Oryzias latipes: one gene and its partner. The protein of the gene in region 1 interacts with the protein of each later gene in a pairwise test. Links are inferred from orthologs where the notes say so. Each region holds a gene or a part of one and is shown in the gene's direction. Other genes may lie near its edges. The genes, in order: aida and pinx1.

The links.
Region 2: the proteins of aida (region 1) and pinx1 interact in binary tests that used the Homo sapiens proteins (3 or more experiments, as listed by UniProt). The link is inferred for Oryzias latipes from reciprocal best matches to the Homo sapiens genes AIDA and PINX1.

The regions. Positions count from the first base shown.
Region 1 is NC_019882.2:5,932,458-5,937,002, forward strand, and holds the start of aida (axin interactor, dorsalization-associated protein), read left to right. Parts: upstream 1-1,745; 5' UTR 1,746-1,941; coding exon 1,942-2,048; intron 2,049-3,678; exon of another isoform or gene 3,679-3,957; intron 3,958-4,361; coding exon 4,362-4,428; intron 4,429-4,512; coding exon 4,513-4,545. Other genes in the region: E3 ubiquitin-protein ligase RNF8, read right to left, coding at 518-646, 770-892. UniProt on the Homo sapiens protein: Acts as a ventralizing factor during embryogenesis. Inhibits axin-mediated JNK activation by binding axin and disrupting axin homodimerization. This in turn antagonizes a Wnt/beta-catenin-independent dorsalization pathway activated by AXIN/JNK-signaling.
Region 2 is NC_019882.2:13,955,452-13,959,864, reverse strand, and holds the start of pinx1 (PIN2/TERF1-interacting telomerase inhibitor 1), read left to right. Parts: upstream 1-1,365; 5' UTR 1,366-1,418; coding exon 1,419-1,437; intron 1,438-2,116; coding exon 2,117-2,226; intron 2,227-4,388; coding exon 4,389-4,413. UniProt on the Homo sapiens protein: Microtubule-binding protein essential for faithful chromosome segregation. Mediates TRF1 and TERT accumulation in nucleolus and enhances TRF1 binding to telomeres. Inhibits telomerase activity. May inhibit cell proliferation and act as tumor suppressor.

The DNA.
Region 1 (4,545 bases):
ATGAATGGTTACCAAGGAGCACTGTGACTATTTCAAGGGCAGCTACTTTAATTAAGCCACAGATATTATTTTTTTTAATAGCAAAATAAATAAACGCAGCCAAGAAAGAAAGTATAGCCACACATATTTGAAAAATTACGTGCGAATAGTCATTTTTTAAATTTAAATAGCCAGAATTCTAATTTTTATGCAACATTTCAAATGGAAAACTTGCCTTTAAAGCAAACAATGAAGCACACAAATATAATAAGGGGTACGATAACATAAAATCGCTTCCTCCCACCCCCTTTTGAAAATATTAATTAAACTTCATTTGACAAAATTAATATTTAATGGACTCCATGTCTTGTATTGTATGTATTACTGTGCATGTCTATCCAATTAAGTAATTAAATGACCTCCTAGAAAGTGCATGTATATCTTTATGTGCTTATGTCTTCTTTTACGTTTTAATTTTCCAATCATTTCATAAATAATTATCCTAAGTCTGACATATCTATGGTGAACGTCATTTCACCTTCTTGTCCGTCACCGTCCACTGTCCGTCTTCTTTTCTCTTGAAGGTGCAGTGCAGCCTGGAGATCATCAGAGGACAACTCGCTGACAGGAGCTGGTACGTCACGTTCACCCCGCGTCCAACGGTGACCTGCAGTCGAAACCAATTTAACCACAGTTCAAACTGCTGAAAACACAGGGGGGGAAATGGACCAGAAACACAGAAAAGTATGCGATTATTTAGCTAATTTAGCTAGTTAGCGAACATTAGCACCTCTGTGTTTCCGAACAAGCGAAGCCACTCGGATTTTTTCCCCACTCTCATGAGACACGCCACCTCCGAGTCCGAGCTGTCCTCCTCTTCTGCCGAACAAGATTCCGTGGTTGTACTCTCCATATTATCTCATTTTTTAAAGGTATAGAAACGATATAACGCCGCCGCAACAGTTACTTTGCTCAGTCACATAACGCTCCCATGCTAGCTCTGGGATAATTTTACTAGACCGGAAATCACCGGAAGTGTTCATGTGATGTTTCAAAATAAGGCACCCAACGGTGCTTTCTTACCAAAGAGACTATAATTATATTTTTTATAATAATAAAAATAAAATACATATATATTAAATTGAACGATGATTACATTACACTCTGAAGAGGCTTTTTTTTACTTTAATTGTTGTAAAGTGGTTAAAATGGTTTAAATATATTCTAAAGAACAATTAATGGCTGAACTTATTGCTAACATTTATACTATTTATTAAGTTTAAAACAGCTTGTTTGAAAATATGTCTATACTTTAGTTAAATTGTTTTTTAATAACTCAATAAAGTAATATCAAGCACCACTCTAAAAAATAATGAGTTTGATTGTAAAACACGTGAGAGTTCAAAATATTCCCGATGTATTAAAAGGAAACAACTACAAGGTGCATGTGATTGTTATGTAAGTTACGTTAAAGACTGGAACCTATGTTTGTTTACTTGTTTTTTTTGTGTTATAAACAGGATGAATATTTTTGTTTTGTTTGTTTTGTGTGTGAATTTTCTCATTTTAACAATTATTATTATTATTATTATTATTATTATTATTATTATTATTATTATTATTATTAATAATAATAATAATAATAATAATAATAATAATAATAATAATAATAATAATAATAATAATAATAATAATGTAATAGTAACACGAGGCTTCAGATCTTCCGGGCGACCCCGCGCTTCAAATCGAGCAAACCCAAGGCTTTCGGGCGGGACTTCCTTTCGCCCGCGGATGTCACATCAGGGTCGGCCAGGCTGAAAGGGCTTGGTCGGGGTGTCACCGGTTTGTGCGCCAAACTCTGGACCGGACGAGCAGGCAAACTGGCCGACGCTGGAGCCCCGCAGATGAGCCTCCTCCTCGGATATGCTGTCCTGAGAGCGCCGCACGAATCCTCCCGACAAAATGTCTGATGTAAACAAGACTATCCAGAAATGGCACGCCAGTTTTAGGAAAGGCTCAGACTTTGACTCGTGGGGGCAGTTGGTGGAGGCGATAGATGAATACCAAATGTAAGTCTACAACATGCGTGTTTGCTCCGCCTGTGGTAAAAGCTGCGGGGATAAGGACCGTGGGAGACAGAAGTTGCCCCGGCAGCTGTCAGCAGTAAATACATCCCTGCCCTCCATGATGACGGGATGTGGCAGCAGAGCTCCGTGCGGTTGCTGCATCCCGGTTTCAGTTTCGTCTTGGGTGTTGTGTTGTGTTTGTGTGCGTGTGTGTGTGTTTTCTGCTCTAAAGGAGCCAGCAGCTGCTCCGCGGAGAATTGAGAAACAGTCAGCCACACCCTCTCGTTGTTCTGGGCGGGTTCTTTGTGTTCAGAGAGAAACGCCATTTTTTAACTTTTCAAAAATCACATTTTTCATGAAGTGATCTGCTTTATTACTTAATTATTATGATTATCTGCTGTAATTGTCTTTATTATATTAATATCGGGTTTACCTGGTAGTGCTTTTGTTGGCCACAAGAGGGCGTGAATACACAGACTGCAATTTAATATGTACAAACTTCAAATGTATGGAACGCCGTTAGGGACATTTTCTGCAATATTTCTGCATAAAATGGGTGACCACATGCATTTCCCCCCAAAAAAGAAATAATATCTGGGTTAAAACTGACATTTAAATTGAAAGTTCCCACTCAGATGAATTTTTAACATGCTTTTGTGGCATTTTTCTCACGATGAAGGACAAACATTAAGAACATAAAGTTAACATTTTCCTCTCTAATTTCTTTTTTCCTTATTCAAGAGCAGAAGAAAAAAAATCTGTTTGTAAAAGATTGTATTTGTGACGTAGAAAACAAGCTCCCTGTTCCATTCTTATGCATCCATTTGTAGACAACTAGACTGGACAGCTCGCCATTTTTGTTGCATAATCATAACTAAAAGAGCACTGGGAACACTTTGACAAAAGATCAAAAGATGATCGGAAGGGGACTTTTAAAAATAATTTCAGTTGTGATGGAAACATTTTAACATGTCCTTCATAAAAGCATTTTATTTTCAGTTTTTTTAAGTAAACGATAAGAACTTAACATGTCTGTGAAGAAACTGGATTTTCTAGAAAGGACTGTATTGTATTAATTCGTAACCCCGTCAGTTTCTTGCACACAGAAATAATGAATAATGACTCAGAGACAGTTACTTATCTTTGTTTTATAAGGAGTCATTACTCAAAGCGAGCACACACCACAGGGGCCGTCGAAAAAGGGCAAACTCAGACACAGACAGAGAGATATAAAAAGCGTTACACACACATAGTTTCCCCGGAGCTCCGTTTCGTCTCAAAAGTCACACTCAGCCTCCCAAGGCTCTATTTCTTCGGCTCACTCGCCGCGGCTGCTCCTACACTTATGCCTACACTTCCATCCCTACACTGCCATTCCCACCGAGGAGGGAAGGCGCCTACACTAGCAGCCTCGCGCGCCGCCCACACTTTTCCCGTCCGCGCAGGATGACTCGTGCACGCGCAGCACCTTGCCTGCAAGCGGTGCTCTGTTCAGCGTGCTCGCGCAGCGGACTGCAGCCGTTTCTCTATTCTTCCCCCAACGTTGATGCACGCACACACAAGGACACAGACACAGTCAACATAAAGCCCTAATAAGTAAAGAGAGGACAGACTTTCTGTGTGGCGTACTCACTTCAAGCAATGAACCTCGCCATTTGATGAGGGTCCGAAGTCGCCGAGGGCACCACCGGATCCAAGGGCAAGGGCCGCCGATCCTGAAGGCGGATGTTTCAATGCTGAGGATGTGGCTAGCGGTTTTCGGGCAACCCCCCCCAGGGGTTCCAGCGATGTCCAGGGCGTGCCGGCCGGCTCAGAAGGAGCAAATGTGAAGAAACTGGATTTGTCGACAGTTACTTATCTTTTGTGGAGGTTTTACTTCGTACAAACACGAAGGGGACAGACAGATGAACATGGTGCATTCAAAGTCCGAACCAACGAGCTCAGGGATGGGGTTGGTATAAATGCATTTGCATATTCAGAAGATCGTCCGATGGACCCCGTGTGAAAAACACGCCCACAGGTTACTGCTGGAGAGCAGTTCCAAGGCTAAAGTGAAGATAAGTCTGAGGCCTGCTCAGGAGATCACACATGCACAGAAAAAGGGAGTATGAGAAGAAACTGTTAGAACAATAGCTTGGCTGTGCTGTCTTCAAATGTAATACAATTTTGAGATGACAATACATGCTCAGTGAATTAAGTTTAAACCATTAGTGTAATAAAAGTTAAAGGCAGTTTCTAACTATTCTTCACAATGTCTGATTTATTGTGTTTTGTAAGAACTAACGATGTTCTGTGTTTATTTGTGGTTTTATTTAGTCTAGCGAGGCAAATGCAAAAAGAGATCCACACAACAAGTTCCACAGATTTCACAGAAGAGCAGAAGGTGATCTTATTGATTTACTGCAAATTTATGCAGCGCTCCTATCCTTTTCTGCAGCTAAAAACAACGTTTCTTTTTTCTGTCCAGAAAACTTTAGGGAAGATTGCAACATGCCTGGAG
Region 2 (4,413 bases), about 8.0 Mb from region 1:
TGCATATTATGGAGCTCTTTATTTCTACTAAAAGAAAACATTTCAAATATTTTTTTTTGAATTGAAGCATTTGTATTTCAAGCTTGGAAAATGCTGAGTTATGCTGTGGTCTCTGCTTCTAGTGTTGAAAAAAACCTACTGGTACTTTTTCTCCATTTACGCTGGGTCAAATCAGAATCAGGTTACAGTGAATGAAAAACCAGATTGTAAATGTGGAAAATAGACATTGTGAATTAAAAAAAAGGAAAACAGCTTTAAACCAAAGTACACATTGTAAACTTAACAGAAATATTAGAATAACCCCATATGTTTACTACAGAAACATGCTGAGGAACAAATTTGAGCTCATTTCTGTTTTATGCTTTTTCATTTCCCTTGTGTGTTTAGCTGCAACATTTTTTTTAATATGTTCTTTTTTTCTTTTTTTAACAGCTAACATGAATCTGCCTCCTTACAAACCGCAGCCAATCACAAACAATTAGTATTGTTTTTTAAGTAAACTACAATTTCTTTGAATGCACAAAGTTTATACAGTGAATGCCTGTCTGACATTTATTGCAATCCTACTTTGTTTAAATTTTTATTTCTTGTCTTGCAGACTGTTTTATCCATTTATGAGATAATATAAAGTTTGCTATTATAAGTTGTTATGATCAGTTGTAATAGATAAGGCTAAAATAACATGTTATGGTGCTGATCCTCACGCAAAAGTACATTTATTCTCTGGCCAATGCAATGTTGACTGTGACCTACGAGCAAATGTTTTGTAGTATGAGTGTATTTTTCCTATACCCACAGAATTTACTAACATTTTATAAACATACCACACAAAACATGTCTTGGTTATGCCTTGAAAATAATTGTTTTAAATCTTTTGTTTTTCTTTAGGGTATGAGACTGTTTGTTTGTTTTTTGGACTGAAAATCCGAGTTTAAAAATGTCATTTAGTTCCTAAATCACTCTTCCACAACCTAAATTTGTCACTTTTCTTTGTGACCTTACAGAATACAACGTATTTTAGGTTTGGATAGCAGTTATTCATCTTATTCACGTGTTTTTATTACCTGAAAAAGTTCCTAGAATGGCATTCCAAGTGGGAGAAGTTCACATGTTTGCTGAAGTTGAGACTTTTGAGCTGAACTCAAGTAACACTGCAGATCCCAACCGGACTCTGAGGTGCTGTGGCGCCCTCTATTGGTAAAACATTTGGGCTGTAAAAGGCAAAGTTCGGTGATAAAGTCTTTGTTTAAATATAAAAAAGTCAAAGAATATTGTTTTATATATAAATTGTAAACAAAAATGTCATTTTATTTAATTTACAGATACTTAAGGTTTAAAATGACAACAGTGATTTATTTTATTCAGGCATTTTGGAAGGTACCTAAATGCTCGAGCGTCCACAAGACTGAGGACCCAAGATGTCTATGCTAGCTGAACGTAAGTACTTTTCTCTTACATGTGTGTATATATTCCTTTTCTTTGTTTATTTTTTTTCTTCATTGTGATATTAGCCAAAGCACCATGCCTAACGGTATAAATTATAAACGGTTTTTTGAGTTGCCATTAACAAAGTGTTAACAAGGTTAGCATTAGCTTTAGCATTTTCCCCCATCGGTTTCTTTAAACACGTGTTTCTTACTTTACAACATGTGTCAAACTGCAGTCATCGCTGTATTTGTTTTTCAACTTGCCCGGCTGCCTCTTATAAGCACAGAGCTTGACTACAGTAGCAGGAAGAGTAGGGGTATCTGAAAAATATGTCGAACACTGAAGGATTTGCAAACGCTGTAAATCAGCTTTTTGACTGTTTATTTTTTGAAAAATAATCGTGGCCTATTTTTTATTTTATTATTTTTTTTGTAGAACTCTCTGTAAGATCTGGATAGTAGTTTACACGTTTGTGTGTGCTACATTCTCACTTGCTTGTCCTTGGATTAAAATCAAGATGTATTTTTTGTCATGATGTTTGTATAAAAAATGTTAAAGCACATTACATATGTTTATCTTCAGCACTGTTTTATATTCACTCTGCGTTTTGAGCTCTATATACTAGTCTAGTTGTCATTATTTAATGACAGACTGTTGAGTAACAATGCTGCTGCTTTTGTGAATTTAGCCCGAAGGAAACAAAAGTGGTCGGTTGACCCCAGGAACAGCACTTGGAGTAAAGATGACTCTAAATTTGGCCAGAAGATGCTGGAGCGAATGGGTTGGTCCAAGGGCAAGGTAAGCGGTCTAAACTTATGCTGATATCTTTAAAAGTGAATGCAATCCAGATATAGTTTTTGTTTGTTTTTCAGAACTTCTTTCTCGTTGCTTTTTTCTTAAGATGGGTGAAACATTTAAGGAAAATTAAGCTTAAAATGACATTTCTGAGTATTTCTTTATTCAAATCGTGTTGAATCACAAGCAGAAGGGAAAAATGCTGTTTAAAAACGACCCTGAAGTTAGCTTCCGATTCACAGCTTCCGATTCGCGAGGGCCCTAAACACTAAGACCACCGTAAAACCGGGTCCTGTTCAAAAACCGCTGGACCTGGACTGCTCAAACCTGGGTTAAATTATGCATTCGATAGTAAAGAACACATTAAACCCAGTTTCTGATTTGTGAAACCTTCCTCTGATTTGTGAAAATGTGAAATAGGTTGATTTTTATACCATTTTACGCACTGAGTCCACTTCAGACCAGGTCCTGGACCTGGACTGCTCAAACCTGGATCAAATTATAAATAAGATAGTAAAGAACACATTAAACACAGTTTCTGATTTGTGAAAATGTTAAATAGGTTGATTTTTATCACATTTTACGCACTAAGTCCACTTCAGACCAGGTCCTGTTCAAAAACCGCAGGACCTGGACTGCTCAAACCTGGATTAAATTATGCATTAGATAGTAAAGAACACATTAAACACAGTTTCTGATTTGTGAAAATGTGAAATAGGTTGATTTTTTATCGCATTTTACGCACGGAGTCCACTTCAGACCAGGTCCTGTTCAAAAACCGCTGTGGGAAATAGTATCATTTCATCAAATTTTATGCAATTTAAGGATAATGGGGACAAGGGAAGGACAACTTTAAGGAAAACACCGTAACAGGAACTCTAAAGTAAATCAGAAAACAAACCAAGAAATATTGAACAAAAAAACAAAACTTAAGTCAGGGGTTCATGCTAACCATGACTATAACTATTTGTCCAATCTGACATCTGTTTCCCAGTTTCTTTTGAATGTTGAGATTTTGATGTCGCCTTGTCTAGCGTTCTTGGATTCCTGTAGTGCATCGTAAAAGGTCCAAGCTTTTGTCTGGGCAGAAGTCTGTGTATTGCAACAAAGTGATTTTGGTCACCCAGGTGATATGTTAGGGCCACCGGCTCGTACCTGTGTGGAGAAATACAATAGTACAATGCAGTATAAAAAATAAAAGTGTTAAGGAATAAAAAAATACATTTCCACCCAAATTTCATGAACAGGACCTTGTCTGAGAAAAAGCGATAAAAATCAACTTATTTTACAAATCAGAGGAAGGTTTCACAAATCAGAAACTGGGTTTAATGTGTTCTTTACTATCTAATGCATAATTTAATCCAGGTTTGAGCAGTTCAGGTCCAGCGGTTTTTGAACAGGACCTGGTCTAAGGTGGACTCAGTGCGTAAGATGCGATAAAAAATCAACCTATTTCACATTTTCACAAATCAGAAGAAGGTTTCACAAATCAGAAACTGTGTTTAATGTGTTCTTTACTATCTTAATTATAATTTAATCCAGGTTTGAGCAGTCCAGGTCCAGCGGTTTTTGAACAGGACCTGGTCTAAGGTGATCTTAATGCAAAAAATGCAGCGGAATGTTCTTTTAGTGCCTTCGCGAATCGGAAGCTGTGAATCGGAAGCCAACTTCAGGGTCGTTGTTTAAAAAGCGTGTTAACAGATGAATGTTGGGAGTTAGTGGCGGATTTACACCGCGCCAATGGTCCCAACCACAACTTGGAGGCAATTTTCTTATGGTCTGCAGAAACTATGTCCCAAAAAACATGATTTTAAAAAAGCCAATATGGAACGCTTTTAAAATAGATGAAAAAAATGATCGGAGTGAGACTTTAAACTCATGTTGGACCTTTTGAGTGCATTAGTTTACAATAATTATTTGTGCTTGTTGTGCCTATTGTTCCTTTTGATAGTGTAATAACGTAAACAGACAGAGTTAAAATGTCCACTCAGCTTGATACAAATACAGAAACAGTAATCTGACAGAACTTGAAAGAGAGAAGTATGATGTTTCAAAATTTGGCGGAACTTACAAACATCGCTGATTGCAGTTATTTTGCAGTTACATCATAACCATTACAGTCAGGTGATTATTAATAAATATGAGCTGATTCTTTGTACTTCCAGGGACTGGGAAGGAGTGAGCAAGGTT